3 linked regions of the Caenorhabditis elegans genome follow. The protein of the gene in region 1 interacts with the protein of each later gene in a pairwise test. Each region holds a gene or a part of one and is shown in the gene's direction. Other genes may lie near its edges.

Region 1 (4,723 bases):
AAGAAGAAGCTAAACGACAAGAGGCACTTGCAAAGACGAAATATGTTTGGGCGATTGCAAAGTCAGAAGCTGGAGAGACGTATTACTACAACAAAATAACAAAAGAGACGCAGTGGACAGCACCAACACCAGTTCAAGGTCTTCTCGAACCGGCTTGTGGTGCATCTCCTGATACTACAGTTGTCATTGCTGACGAGATTACTGAAGAAGAGCAACAAGCTGAAGTTCTGGAGAAGCCGCGTGTTGTTAAGGAAGAAGTTATCGAGCCAGGTTCACAATCTGAAACTCAAAAAGAATCTCCGGAGAAAGTTCGAGTTGTTGTACCGAAAGTTGAAGTTGAAAGATCACCGTCGCCAAAATCTTCTCGTGATCGTGAGAAGGATCGAGAGAAATCTCGTGAGAAAGATCGTGAAAGAGATCGTGACAGAAGAGAAGGTTCAAAACATCGTGATAGTTATCATGGACATCGAAACGGCAGCAGTTCTGTCAGTGAACGACGTATGCGAGAGTTCAAACATGAGCTGGAACGATCCACTCGATCTGCCGTTCGTTCTCGTCTACAACATCAACGTGACGCTTCTAGTGATAAGACTACTTGGCTTATTAAGTTAATATATCGAGAGATTTTCAAACGAGAAAGTGCGCAGAGTGGATTTGATTATCGATTCAGTGAGAATACTGATAAGAAGGTAATATTATGGACCAAAAAATAAACAATTGAAAAAAAAACCAAAAAAATCTGATGCTTGAATTTAAAAAAAAACAATGAAAGAGTGCAATTTTTTAGGTTTTTTGGTCTTTTTTTTTGGAAAAACCAAAAAATAAATTTTTTTCCAAAGTACCAAACTTCATTTTAAAAAATTTTATTTGACATAAAAATTGATAATTTAAAACTAATTTGAACATTTTTCCGCAAAAATTATAGATTTTTCTGCCAATTTTAGATTTTTAACGTTTTTTTTCGGACAATTAATGTTTCGAATCATCAATCAGAATGAATATGATATCTGATGAAATTCAAAAATAATGCAATTTAAATAGAAAACGGTACAAAAGTTTTGAAAAATTTAGAAGAATTCTAAAAAAAATCCTGTCCTTCAGGACAAAATTCAACCTTTTTCTCAAAACACAAAAATTACTTTATATTATTTTTCAGGTGAAAAACTACGTCAAGTCATATATCGACCGAAAACTCGAATCAAACGATCTCTGGAAAGAATACTCTCGGCCATGAGCTTTATTTTTTAATTTAAATTTTATAAAAAAATGTTTATGCTTGTTTTTTTCTCTATAGTTCCCTCCTATCCCCCCCCTCCCCTATCGCCTAAAAATTGATCTCTGTCTGATTTCACCGATTTCCGTTTTATTTGATCCCATTGAACGAGTATATCATCATGTTCCTGAACTTCAACGTTCGCACATTTTATTCCCCTAGTTTTATGTCCCCAGAATTGTTTTATACTATCCTGTAATCCACCTCAAAATGACAGCCATGAAAAGCTGTTTTTCATGTTTTCTATTTTCTTGTTGATCGTATTTGCGCCGCTCTTTGTCGCCAAATTTTTTTTTGTAATTAAAAAATGAATTACGGATGTTGAATTTTTAAATTTATTTTTTTAAAGAAAAATTGTGGAAGTTTTTCAGATTCTATACTGCTTATTTTTACGCTAAATTTTTTTTCGAAGTCCCCTTTTTTCAAATCGAAGTGTAACTGCGCTCCACGATCAATAGAGACTCTCCGCCCTCGAACCATGGGTCTCGTTAGGTATTTGGCAGACTTACCGTAAATTCAAATGTTTTATTACTTCGCGACTAATTTTTTTATTCATGACTCAATTTTTTATCAATTCCAACGAAAAACTAATTAAAAACAACGGAAAACATAACGAAAAATGCTTGAAAATTGCAGACATTTCCGAAATTAATTAAATTCCTAACGAGACCCATGGCTCGGGGGCGGAGTGTTTTCGATTAGCCATGGAGCGCGTTGAGATATTCCTAAATTTTTCTATTCAGATGTCGAATCAATCAAAACGGGTCACAGTGAGAATTGAGCATTCGAAGAACACTTTTTTCGAAAAGTAATTTTCAAATTTTGATCCAAAGAAATTATTCGTCAATTTTCAGAGTTTTAAAATTCCAACATCAAGAGCAAGAAGATCGGAAGCTCAAATATGTTCTGCACAAAGCTCACGAGAATCTGAGAAAGTGCCCATTCGAGATTCTGACAATTGTTGATTTGAAAAATGTGCAGGGTATTAATAAATAAAAAAATCGAATTCCAGATTTTTAAAATCTATATATTGAATTTTCAGGAATCGGAGAGAATATTGCTCTAAAATTGGAAGAAACGTGGAACGTCGCCTGCCGAGAGAACAATGGCCAGGATCCAACTCTACGAAGCATCAAAAAATTCACGACAGACGATTATCGCCGGTTCTTAACAAATCGAAAATCAACAACAGAACGGATGAAGGATGCGAAAAGATTGGAAAAACAGAAATCAACGAAAACCATTGTTGATATAGAAAATGAATTCGAATCGGATGGAGATGATGACAAGCAACCAAGTGTTCCACTCACTAAAACGAAAAGCTTTCAAGTTTCGAAGCCCGTCCAGCCGAGCTTGATACGATCACAAAGTGGAAATCTTTCGTCTTCTTCGTCTACTTCCTCATCATCATCTAATTCATCAGATCCATTATCTTTCAGACTTCTCACTTGTCGACCTTTTGAGCAGCCAACTGTTAGTATTTAAATCTAATTTTTGCAGAAAAGGATTCCAGAATAGAAAAAAATCGGCAAGTAATAGAAAATCCAATGGAAAATTAAAAAAAAAAGATTTTTGAACTCCCTCCGAAATGAGAACTGTCCGACCAATCAGCGAATAGCTCCGCCCCAGCAATCAGATGGAGTGGGCGGAGTTGGAAGACGCTTATTGGTTGGCTCGCGAGATTTTGCGGTTTTTGCATACGGTACCCGATCTCGAAGCGACTAATATTCAGGAGTACTGTAGCTCCCAACTCCTAATAAGTTGCAGAAACTTCTGCCATTTTTCATAAGTTTTCGTCCGTTCCTTCGAAATTTATCGAAAAAGATTTTGAAACTTGAACATTTTTGAGCTCGAAAAAAAAACATTTAACAATATTTTTTAAAAACGATTAACAAAAATATGCAAAAATCGTTGCAGTGCAAAAAGTGAAATACCAACAAAAAACCAAATTTTCATCAAAAACCCAATGTTTTGGTGTCGAAAAAATGGTCAGCTATTTACTCCACCTTCAAATTAAAAAAAAACGAGGTATTTTTCCAGGTCTATCTAATCGCAGACAATCGTGAGCATCGCAACAATCCACGTTTCAAGTCGGTAATCGAGCATCTCGTGAAAAAAGAAGATATTCGAGTTGATATTCGTTCTCTTTCCGTTGGAGATTACATATGGATTTGTCGAAAGATTGATGGAACTGAGATTGTGATGGATTGGGTTGTAGAACGGAAAACTTGGGATGATCTGCAATCAAGTATTCGTGGAGGTAGATATGATGAGCAGAAAGGACGATTGAATATGGCTCCGATGAAGAATCGAGTTTATTTGATTGAAGCTCAACATAAAGGAGATGTTGCTTGCGAACAGGTAGAATATAGAATTAGAATCTGATGATTTTTCAAAATTCTAACAAAAATTCCAGGCCGTAGCATCAACTCTTTCCAATGGAGGATATCTTATTCAAAGATGCTCTGATACTCGAGACACAGCTGCATTTCTCAAGGAAGTGACGATTCGTTTGCAGAACAAAGCGGCCATAGAAGAAATTTCGGGTGTTCCATTCAGCCAACTCCAGAATCTTCTCCAGAAAAAGAAGGCGGAAACTGTGAAAGAAGCTTGGGTCCGACAGCTGATGGTTTGCCCGGGAATGTCTCAGAATCGAGCCGAAGCAATTGCCGATCGATTTCCATCCATGGTATCCCTGCTTTCATATTTTCGTGCAAATGGAGACGATGCACCGATTCGACTTCTTCAGCTTTTACCTCAACTAACTAGGCCTATTACTCGTAACCTTTTCAAATTTTTTGTTCAATAAGTGAATCCTGAATGAATCAGAATTAGATTGAATTTTTTATAATTGAATGAAAAATTTTGAAAGGAAGACCAACAAAAACAACATCAACAAGAGAATAACAATGAAAAATGAAAAATTGTGGAATTTAAAATTTTTGAATGGAGACCAAAATCCGATTAAGCGAGATGACTCTCATTTCTGAGATACTCTCCAAGATCGCATTGATGTAGAACGACGAGAGCAGTTGGATCGGCACGCTTACTGTCTGATGTTCCTTTCGCTGACACTCCGAATCTAGAGAAATATATTTAATTAACTTGAATATTAAATGTGAACATACCCCAATGGAACATCGGTCATCGAGTATACGACGATTCCAGCATGAGTTGGAGTTCCGTCGGTCATTCTTGCGATTCCAGACTTGAGAATGTTGTTTCCGTAAAGGAATTGCTGCTCGGCGTTCGGCTTCAGCCACACCTTGAACTTGGCATACGGCGCCAAATAGTCGAGAGCGGTGATTTGGAGATGGAACTTTTTGCTTTTGGTGAACTTTCCCAAGCAAGTTCCAAAAGAGAGAAGTGGCTCACGGGCAATGCAGGCGGCTTGACGCATCAGATTTTCCGAACAGTAATAGACACGTTCCTGAAGAACAAATCGAGTTT
Region 2 (5,000 bases), on another chromosome or scaffold:
AGTTGAGTGCGAGATATAAAGATCTTCGGCAACCATTCCAAGAACCTACCGGAGAGCTTTTGTATGATCTTTTGGCTCGTTCAGGAAAAGAAATTAGAGTATGTTACTTGTAATAATTCTGTCGATTTTATTTTTATTTTTGCAGGAAGGAGCTAAAGTGTTGGGAACAGTTCAATCTGTGCAGTACCGTAAAGTTGACAAAGATGCAGCAGACAGCATGTTACCTGATGTTGGAGAAGATGGTCTTTTCACTTGTCCATGTTGTAAATCGTTCACATCTTCGGCTCCTGGTGGAATTCAAGAACATATGCTCGGTGACGTAAGTTTTTCTCAACTAATACTATTCGTTAACCAATGTTAAATTATTTCAGTCTCGTCAAGGTGGATGTCCTGGAACACCAGTCGGAATTCGAGTCAGATTTGACAATGGAATGACTGGATTCTGTCCGAACAAGAACATCTCATCAAGTCACGTAGACAATCCATTAACCCGAGTCAAGATAAATCAGCCATATTACTTCAAAGTTCTCAAGTTGGACAAGGAGAGATTCTCACTATTCCTAAGTTGTAAGAGTTCGGATCTGAAAGAAGATGATTTATCTCAACGTGATCAGTACTGGGATGAGCATCAATACCAAGCTGATTTGGAACTGATGAAGAGTGAATCGAAAAAGAAGACAGAAGCAAATACACGTGTGAAGCGAGTAATTGCGCATCCAAATTTCCATAATGTATCCTACGAAGCTGCTACGAAAATGTTGGATGAAATGGATTGGTCTGAGTGTATTATTCGTCCATCGGCTAATAAAGATTCTGGTCTTTCTGTGACATGGAAGATTTGTGACCGCGTCTATCACAATTTCTTTGTCAAAGAATCCGCAAAGGATCAAGTTTTCTCCATTGGTCGGCAACTCTCAGTCGGCGGAGAAGATTTCGAGGATCTTGATGAGTTGATTGCTCGATTCGTTCAACCGATGATACAGATCTCTCACGAGATAACAACTCACAAGTACTTCTTCCCAAATGGAACATGCGAAGAAACAGAAGCAGTCGAGCAATTTGTACGAGAGAAGAAACGAGAGCTGGGACGATCTCCGTACGTATTCAGTGCATCCTACAGACAGCCATGCCAATTCTGTATTTCTTATATGTTCGATAATACAGAACGGATTCGACATGAATATTTCAAAAGTGAGTTTCGAAAAGAGATACGAACAAAGTTTTCAACTATTTTTGTTTACAGTTGTCCCACATGGAGTCCGATTCCGACATCAAAACTTTGATACGCTAGATCGAATGATGGCTTGGTTCAAACGCCATTTCCACGAGCCTCCCATCGAGTTAAGGCGATCTGCGATCCCGGCTCCACAGTATCGAGTTGGTGCTCCTCCAGCAGCTCCATACTATCCTCCTCAATTCGTCGGCTATCACTGAAAACCCTGATCTTATTCTCTTTATTACCCACACCTTATCAGACACATTCAATCCTGTTTCCTTTGTTCCAGTCTATCAACGATGATCTAATTTTAATTTATAGAATACAACATCCATCTGTCTTAATCCCACATAATTTGTTTTGATTTCGGTAATCCGTTCATCCTCGATTTTTACTTTTCAAACATTTTTATATATCTATCAAAATATTTATTCAAGCAGTCATACTGTTCATGAGCTCTTTCTGTATTCAAGTACCATTTTTGTTGTTTACTCAATAAATTTCGTAATCAGAATCACTGCTAAATCATCACGAAAAAACGTAGAATGCGTTGATCACAATTGATATTGGAATAAGAATTGCAAATTCAGTTTTAGAAGAAAAAAAAGTATTCTAGATTCTACTCATATGAATGATTCATCACTAAAAAAGGCACTGTCCCAAAACTCGATCTCATCCGCGCCAAGGTAGTAAGGTTTTTGTTTCTGTCGTATCTATTTAACCTAAACGTAAATTAAAAAATATCTGTCTTTTTTTCTAGGCGTCCTCAAAAACTTGGAAGTGTGCAGAGTATTGTAAGAAATGAATCTGACAAAAGTAAGTTTCAAATCAAATTTCCCAATTAAATCAATTAATTTACTTTTTGAGATGTTCCTTCTCCTTTCGAAGAGATCACACTGAGCGACGATGATGAAGAAGCACCGGCTAAGAAACCTGTAAAATGTGCGACGTGTGCACGAGATATGACTCTTTGGATGAATTCCAGAAGGTTTGAAATATTATTTGTGTTTCTTCTCACTGTTCAAATTTTAGAGATATTCATGTAAAAGTTTGCAAAGCGAAACAATCAGAGAAGGAGAAGGAAACTACAAGAAAATCGAAAACACTCACCGAAACCATAGAAAAGTTAGTTTCAGTAGAAGGATATTCTGTGATGCAAAAACATATTTCAGAGATGATCAAGTTTATGAGAAGCCATCTTCAAAGACTCATCTATTTGAAAAACCTTTCGAAAAACCACAGGAACTTCCAAAATCATGGGAGCTATCGAAGAACAACGTGAAATTTGCACGAATCGCTGAGGATGATGAGGAAAACCGAAAACGGAAGCGTCCTCGATCGTTTGCAGTTGTGGAATTGGCACCGAAAAAGTGTCAATGTGAGGTTCTTACGACACTTCATTCAAGATTTATTGACGAGTTTCACAGTAAATCTATCAAAAATCAAAAGAAACGAGAGGAAGGAGTGACTGAGCATGCGTTTCAAATGAAGAAAATGATTGAAAAAGTAATTTTCTAGTTTATTATAATTTAAAAAAAATCACTTTTTCAGATTTCCCGATACGAACAACTCTCATCTGACATGCAAAAAGTTCTTGATGACAATTCTGAACAATTACCAACTCACATTTTCATTACCTGCAGTGATGGTCATCGTGTAAAATGTCAGACAATGATCTTGAAACATCGGACATCACTTATCAGACTGAACCCTAAATCTGAAAATATTCAAGTCGAGCACACAAAAGAAGTTGTGAAAGCATGGATTTCATTTGTATTCACTGCAAATATCGAATGGAATGATGATGATAAGGATGGTGTGAGGGATTTGGCTTCGAAGTATGGACCTGTAGGATTAGACTTGATTGTGAAAAATGATAAGGAGGAAGATCTTGAGAAAGTCGATGATGTTGAGGACGTGGTAGAGCCTGAAGCTAAGATAGATTCTGTAGTAGCTGATCCTGTAGAAATAGAGCCAACTGCGTCTCATAGCGACCCAATCGAACTTGATAAATCTGTGAACTACTTCACATCTGATGATCCTTTCTTTGGATTCGGAAAAGCTGTCGAAAATGTGGAAGATGATGCAGAACAAATCATGGAAGATAAACCACATGAATCAGTACACTCTACTCCACAGAAACCAACTACTAATGTGACAATGGATTCATTCGATGAATGGAGCAATCAACCGTCTACAAATCTTCCAACTACATCCAATGTCATTACTCCAATCCGCAACATTACCTCAAAAGCTGTCTTCGGATCCCATGTCAAAATTCTGAAGACCAATGATATAACTCCAATGCCTGCATTCGATTCAATGGAAGAAGCAGAATTAAAAGAACGAATGAAAGAGATCGGGATGCGGCCAAAAGGAAAGAAAGCGATGATTCAGATTCTGAAGAAAGCATATATCACATTACATCCAGAAATTTGCTCAGGAACACCTACAATTCGTCCGCTTGTCAGATCTGCAAGTTTAGAAAAGGTTTCGGAACAAGGAGGAAAGGGTGGAAGGAAAACAATCAAGACGAAGACATTAAGTGAAAGAATGATTGCATCGCCGAAGAAAGTTTCTCCTAAAAAGCAAGGAGTCAAGAATGCTATTTCTGGTGAGTTTATTCATTTTCAATTAAATTGAAAAATTGCTAGACATTTTATCTAGTTGCTTTAGAAGGATATTAATATTATATAATAGTTTCAGATGAAACTTCCAAAAATGTATCCAATGTTTCCGATGATCTGGATGAAGATAATGATGGTGATAAAACATTGAATATATCAAATGACGAGCGAGAAGTTGGAAAAATTTGCGGTGATGACGTTGGAGACGATGAAGAAGATGATGATGATATGTCAGCTTCCAGTACCAGTGGCAAACATGACTTGAGTGCATTGAAATTGGCATTTTTAACATGGCTTCGAAGTGATCAGAATACAGTTTTACATGAGCACATTCTCTCACTCCAACCTGTATCCTTGGTTAGATTCCAAAGTTTCCACAACTCTTTGTTTATTGTAAATTTTCAGGAAGAAATGTTGATTCGTCTAGAGAAAGCTGACGGCCCACTTGGAAGGATTGGAAAAGGAAAACTGGTGAAATTACTGGAAATGCTGAAAATCACGTACCAACTTCCACAGAAGACGGGAAGAGCACGTGGCGGCTACAAAAGAAGACTATAACAATTTTTTCCATGCAATTTTATGAAGAGATAATTAGGAATATAATATGTTTTCACGGAAAATCAGAGAAATTCAAAAAATACAAAAAAAAATTAGAATTGAGTTTCGTTAATTCCTGATCTAGTTCTGTAAGTAATTAATCCATATTCGTCAATTCTTGGAGCACATCCAGTATTCGCGAAGAGTACCATTTTATCCCGAATGTACAAATGTGCAATCTTTGTTGGATCCAAGGCGCTGTACACTACATATCTTACCATTTTTACAGTTTGCACTGGTTGCGGCTTTTTCGGGTTCTCTTCAGCAATACAGCTGAAAATAAGAAATATAAAACCTTTAGAATGTCTAAATTCTAACAATTTAGGTCCATATTTAGCTTCAACAAACTCCACAATTAGTCGATCAATCACTTCTTCTACTTCCAATTCGAGATGAGTACTTATAGCCCACCAACAGAACTTATCGGAAACACCACCGTGTGCCCATTTGTCAATATAGTCACGCATTCTTTCTTGGCTGGAAATTCAGAAATTTATAAAAATTAAAAATCTATAATTCACCTAACAAAAGAGTCATGAAGAATGAGAATTCGAAGATCC
Region 3 (4,630 bases), 3.6 Mb from region 1:
CCTCAAAGCCGAATAATTATTAGAGCGCGCTTGCAGCGTCTCGCGTTTCTGCATCCGCGGTATTTTGCCTTTCCACTGAAATGAGCAGCTTTTTTAGATTTATCGAATTTTTAGCTTTTAAATTTTTTTTTCTGTTTTTTTCGAACAAACCTTTTGTTAAACAGTAAAAATCGAAATTAAAATGACTAAAATGAACTTTTTTCGTCCACTGGTTGCGAAATGGTTCGAATTTGAAGAAATCAGCGGGATTTTTCGTATTTTCTGAATATTTTTCTATTAAAAATCGGTTTTAAACCATTTTTTGACCCTAATGTTAAGTCAAAAATGTATTAAAACCAATTTTTAATAGAACAATATTCAGAAAATACGAAAAACCCCGTTGATTTCTTCAAATTCAAACCATTTCACAACCAGTGGACAAAAAAAGTTCATTTTAGTCATTTTAATTTCGATTTTTACTGTTTGACAAAAGGTTTGTTCGAAAAATACAGAAAAAAAAAATTTTAAACCTAAAAATTCGATAAATCTGAAATATCTGCTTTCTTCAGTGGAAAGTCAAAATACCGCGGATGCAGAAACGCGAGTCGCTGCAAGCGCGCTCTAATAATTATTCGGCTTTGAGGAGAGCGTGGGCTCTGCACCTGAAAAATCGGAAAAAAATCCCCCTTTTCTCATGAAAACCAACCCACCTTGTTACCTTACATGTTACATACTGTCGCGACAGAACGATCGCTCCGCCAATTTTGCATGCGGCAAAGGGGCGTGGTTTATTGGGGGCGGGATTCCGGCGCAACCCTGCGGCACGCTTTTTTCTCGCTTTTTTCATGCGGTAATTTTCAGTTATTTTTATTCGTTTTCTGTTCGAAATTTCACGATTTCGCTCGATTTTGTTCGTTTTTTCGGATAAAAAAGTGTCTATTTTTAAATGAAAAATAACCAAGTTTTATCAGTTTTTACTTGAAAAAATGCTTCGTTTGTCTCTTTTTCTGTAATATACGAAGCAAAACGTTAAAAAAACGCTTTCTCTTCACATTTTCCTTTTTTTCCCCCATTTTCTCTCTTAACAATCGTAATTTACAGAAAGAGAGACCAACAAAGCATTTTTCGGGTAAAATCTGTGAAAACTTGGTTATTTTTCATTTAAAAAATAGTTGGACACTTTTTTATCCGAAAAAACGAACAAAATCGAGCGAAATCGTGAAATTTCGAACAGAAAACGAATAAAAATAACTGAAAATTACCGCACGAAAAAAGCGAGAAAAAAGCGTGCCGCAGGGTTGCGCCGGAATCCCGCCCCCAATAAACCACGCCCCTTTGCCGCATGCAAAATTGGCGGAGCGATCGTTCTTTCGCGACTGTATATTTACTCCTTTTTTCGCTCCACGCTTTGTCAAAAATTTTTTCTTTCCCCCCCCCCCCCTGACTTTTTGAAACAAAAATGAATTTAAATTACACGATTTACACGATTTACCCGAAATTTCCAAAAAAATCCCCAAAATTTTTTTTATTGTAAAAAAATCAATTTAAATATATGATTTTCTACAAAAAATCGATATTTTCCCACTATTCAGATGGACGAGGCGATTGTAGTCCTCTCGGATGATGATGATGATGAGGACTGTATTATGATTGAGGAAACGACGAATGTGACGGCGGGAAATTTGGAGAAATTGTGAGAAATTTCACAGAAAATCGATATTTTTAAAGGCGCATGGACTTGGGTCTCGCAGCGAAAGTTGTCTGGATTTTTCGAGTTTTTAGATGATTTTTTAGCGGAAAATAATCGATTTTTCGAAAGTTTTATGAGAAATTTGAATTTTTCGCAGAAAAAATCAGATTAATTTTGCGAAATTTTGATGTTTTTACCGGAAAAAGCCGAATTTCGATTAAAAATTTAACAAAAAATCGATATTTTTAAAGGCGCAGGGACTTTCAGGAGCCTTGGGTCTCACAGCGAAAATTTTGGGGATTTTTCGAATTTTTTAGATGTTTTTTAGCGAAAAAACGACAAAAATAGGTTTTTCCAGAAAAAAAAAATCAATTTTTCAAAAGTTTTATGAGAAATTTCGCTTTTTCGCACAAAAAATCAGACTAATTTCGCAAAATTATGATTTTTTACCGGAAAAAAAGCCAAATTTCGATTGGAAAATTTAACAAAAAATCGATATTTTTAAAGCCACACGGACTTGGGTCTCACAGCGAAAATGCTCTGGATTTTTCGAATTTTTTAGATGGTTTTTTTGGCGAAAAAACGTAAAAAAAGAGAAATTTGAATTTTTTGCACAAAAAATCAGATTAATTTCGCAAAATTATGATTTTTGCTGAAAAAAAAAACCTGATTTCGATTGAAAAATTTGAAAAAAATCGATAATCTTAAAGGCGCATGCACTTTGGGTCCCACAGCGATAATTCTGTGGATTTTTCAAATTTTTTAGATGTTTTTTTAGCGGGAAAAACGGAAAAATTAGGGGTTTTCTTTTTAAAAAAATTGATTTTTCAAAAGTTTCTTTGAGAAATTTCACTTTTTCGCAGAAAAAATCTGATTAATTTCGCGGGAAAATTTAACAAAAAAAAAACGATATTTTAAAGGCGCAGGGACTTTGAGGAGCCCAATTGGGTCTCACAGCGAAATCTATTTTCGCTGATTTTTTTTCCAAAAAACTAATTTTTCAACGATTTTTTTAAAGAAAAAATTAATTGAATTTCAAAATTTCAGGAATTTTTCAACAAAAAACTATGGAAAAATTTATTTTAAAAGTTTAAAATTTTGAAAATCCAAAAAAAATCAATTCACAAAAAATCGAAAATTATTGATTTTTTCCGAAAAAATTACAAAAAAATCGATAATTATTGATATTTTACAAAAAATTCACAAAAATCGATAATTATTGATTTTTTCCAAAAAAAATCACAAAAATCGATAATTATTGATTTTTCCAAAAAAAAAATCACAAAAAATTGATAATTTTTGATTTTTCCGAAAAAAATCACAAAAAATCGATAATTATTGATATTTTACAAAAAATCACAAAAATCGATAATTATTGATTTTTCCAAAAAAAAATTCACAAAAAATCGATAATTTTTGATTTTTCCGAAAAAAAATCACAAAAAATCGAAAATTATTGATTTTTTTCAAAAAATTCAAAAAAAAATCGATAATTATTGATTTTTTTCAAAAAATCCACAAAAAATCGATAATTATTGATTTTTTCCAAAAAAAATCGAAAACTATTGATTTTTTACAAAAAATCCACAAAAAATCGATAATTATTGATTTTTTTCAAAAAATCCACAAAAAATCGATAATTTTTGATTTTTTCGAAAAAAAATCACAAAAAATCGAAAATTATTGATTTTTTTCAAAAATTCACAAAAAATCGATAATTATTGATTTTTTTTTTCAAAAAATCGAAAATTATTGCCTTTTTTCAAAAAATCGATAATTATTGATTTTTTTTCGAAAAATTTCCACTGTTGTTACAACAAAAGTTTAAAAATTTGAAAATCCAAGAAAAAAAATCAATTTTCGTTGTGAGACCCGAAGTTTTTTGAATTTTCCAATCGAAATTTATCGATTTTTCCGATTTTTCCCCATCAAAAAAATCGATAAAAACCGATAAAAAATCAATAAAAAATCGATAATTTCCAGGTACTCCGCGAGCTTTTCCATCGTCGACGCAGTGAATAAGGATGCAATTCCAGCTGCGGCAAAAACATGGCTGGATGAGGGAATGCTCAATCTTGACGAAATGATCCGTCAGAATCAGACGAGCTCATACTCGTTGTGCTCAAGCTCACAAGAGAATACTGACATAAATGTCGTGGCGAGACCCGAAAAACGGAAACTAACCGACGATGAGAAGGAGACGCAGAAAGTATTGATTTTTTGATACATTTTGCGATTTTTTTGGAAAATTTCACCGAAAAATCAAAAGTTCCATCGCAAAATTCGAGAAAATCTATTTTTTTTGGGTCTCGCAGCGAAAATCGATTTTTATTCCGAAAAAAATTGTTAAAAGTTGAAGAAAATCTTAAAAATTTGAAAAATCCTCTAAATTTTCGAGGTGGGACCCAAAATATCGTAATACCAAAAATATTTTTATACCAAAATATTTTTTCTGATTTTTCAATCGAGAATTGGTTTTTTTCTCGCGAAAAAAAAACTGAAATTTTTACGAAAACTGAAAAAATTGTTGAAAAAACAATTTTTTTTTGATTTTAGACAATTTTCCCTTTAAAACTGTCAAAAAAATACGTTTTTCAGCGAAATTTTATCCAAAAAATTTGAAAAATCCACTTTTCGCTGTGAGACCCAGGAGAGCGCATGCGCCTTTAAAACTATCGATTGTTTTTTTGAAAAATTGATAAAAATTCGGCTTTTCCGCCTAAAAATCAATAATTATCGATTTTTGTGATTTTTTTTGGAAAAAATCAATAATTATCGATTTTTGTGATTTTTTTTTTGAAAAAAATTAAAAATTATCGATTTTTTGTGAATTTTTTGTAAAAAATCAATAATTATCGATTTTTTGTAATTTTTTTTTGTAAAATATCAATAATTATCGATTTTTTGTGATTTTTTTTTAAATTAAAAAATTATCAATTTTTTTGTGAATTTTTTCGGAAA

Evidence for each region.
Region 2: the proteins of mus-81 (region 1) and him-18 interact in a two-hybrid assay, tested with the Caenorhabditis elegans proteins (one study listed by BioGRID).
Region 3: the proteins of mus-81 (region 1) and eme-1 interact in a two-hybrid assay, tested with the Caenorhabditis elegans proteins (one study listed by BioGRID).

What each region holds. Positions count from the first base shown.
Region 1 is NC_003279.8:4,263,093-4,267,815, forward strand, and holds mus-81 (Crossover junction endonuclease MUS81), read left to right. Parts: upstream 1-2,016; coding exon 2,017-2,081; intron 2,082-2,127; coding exon 2,128-2,255; intron 2,256-2,315; coding exon 2,316-2,746; exon of another isoform or gene 2,747-3,313; coding exon 3,314-3,634; intron 3,635-3,689; coding exon 3,690-4,082; 3' UTR 4,083-4,146; downstream 4,147-4,723. Other genes in the region: met-1 (Histone-lysine N-methyltransferase), read left to right, coding at 1-689, 1,157-1,234; C43E11.9 (60S ribosome subunit biogenesis protein NIP7 homolog), read right to left, coding at 4,238-4,355, 4,402-4,703.
Region 2 is NC_003281.10:4,712,021-4,717,020, reverse strand, and holds him-18 (SAP domain-containing protein), read left to right. Parts: upstream 1-1,832; 5' UTR 1,833-1,843; coding exon 1,844-1,902; intron 1,903-1,976; coding exon 1,977-2,032; intron 2,033-2,083; coding exon 2,084-2,204; intron 2,205-2,248; coding exon 2,249-2,341; intron 2,342-2,388; coding exon 2,389-2,722; intron 2,723-2,767; coding exon 2,768-3,830; intron 3,831-3,922; coding exon 3,923-4,200; intron 4,201-4,248; coding exon 4,249-4,401; 3' UTR 4,402-4,441; downstream 4,442-5,000. Other genes in the region: emb-5 (Suppressor of Ty 6 homolog), read left to right, coding at 1-98, 146-319, 372-1,191, 1,244-1,434; T04A8.18 (F-box domain-containing protein), read right to left, coding at 4,494-4,713, 4,759-4,917, 4,962-5,000.
Region 3 is NC_003279.8:626,386-631,015, reverse strand, and holds the start of eme-1 (ERCC4 domain-containing protein), read left to right. Parts: upstream 1-1,571; coding exon 1,572-1,672; intron 1,673-3,652; coding exon 3,653-3,878; intron 3,879-4,630.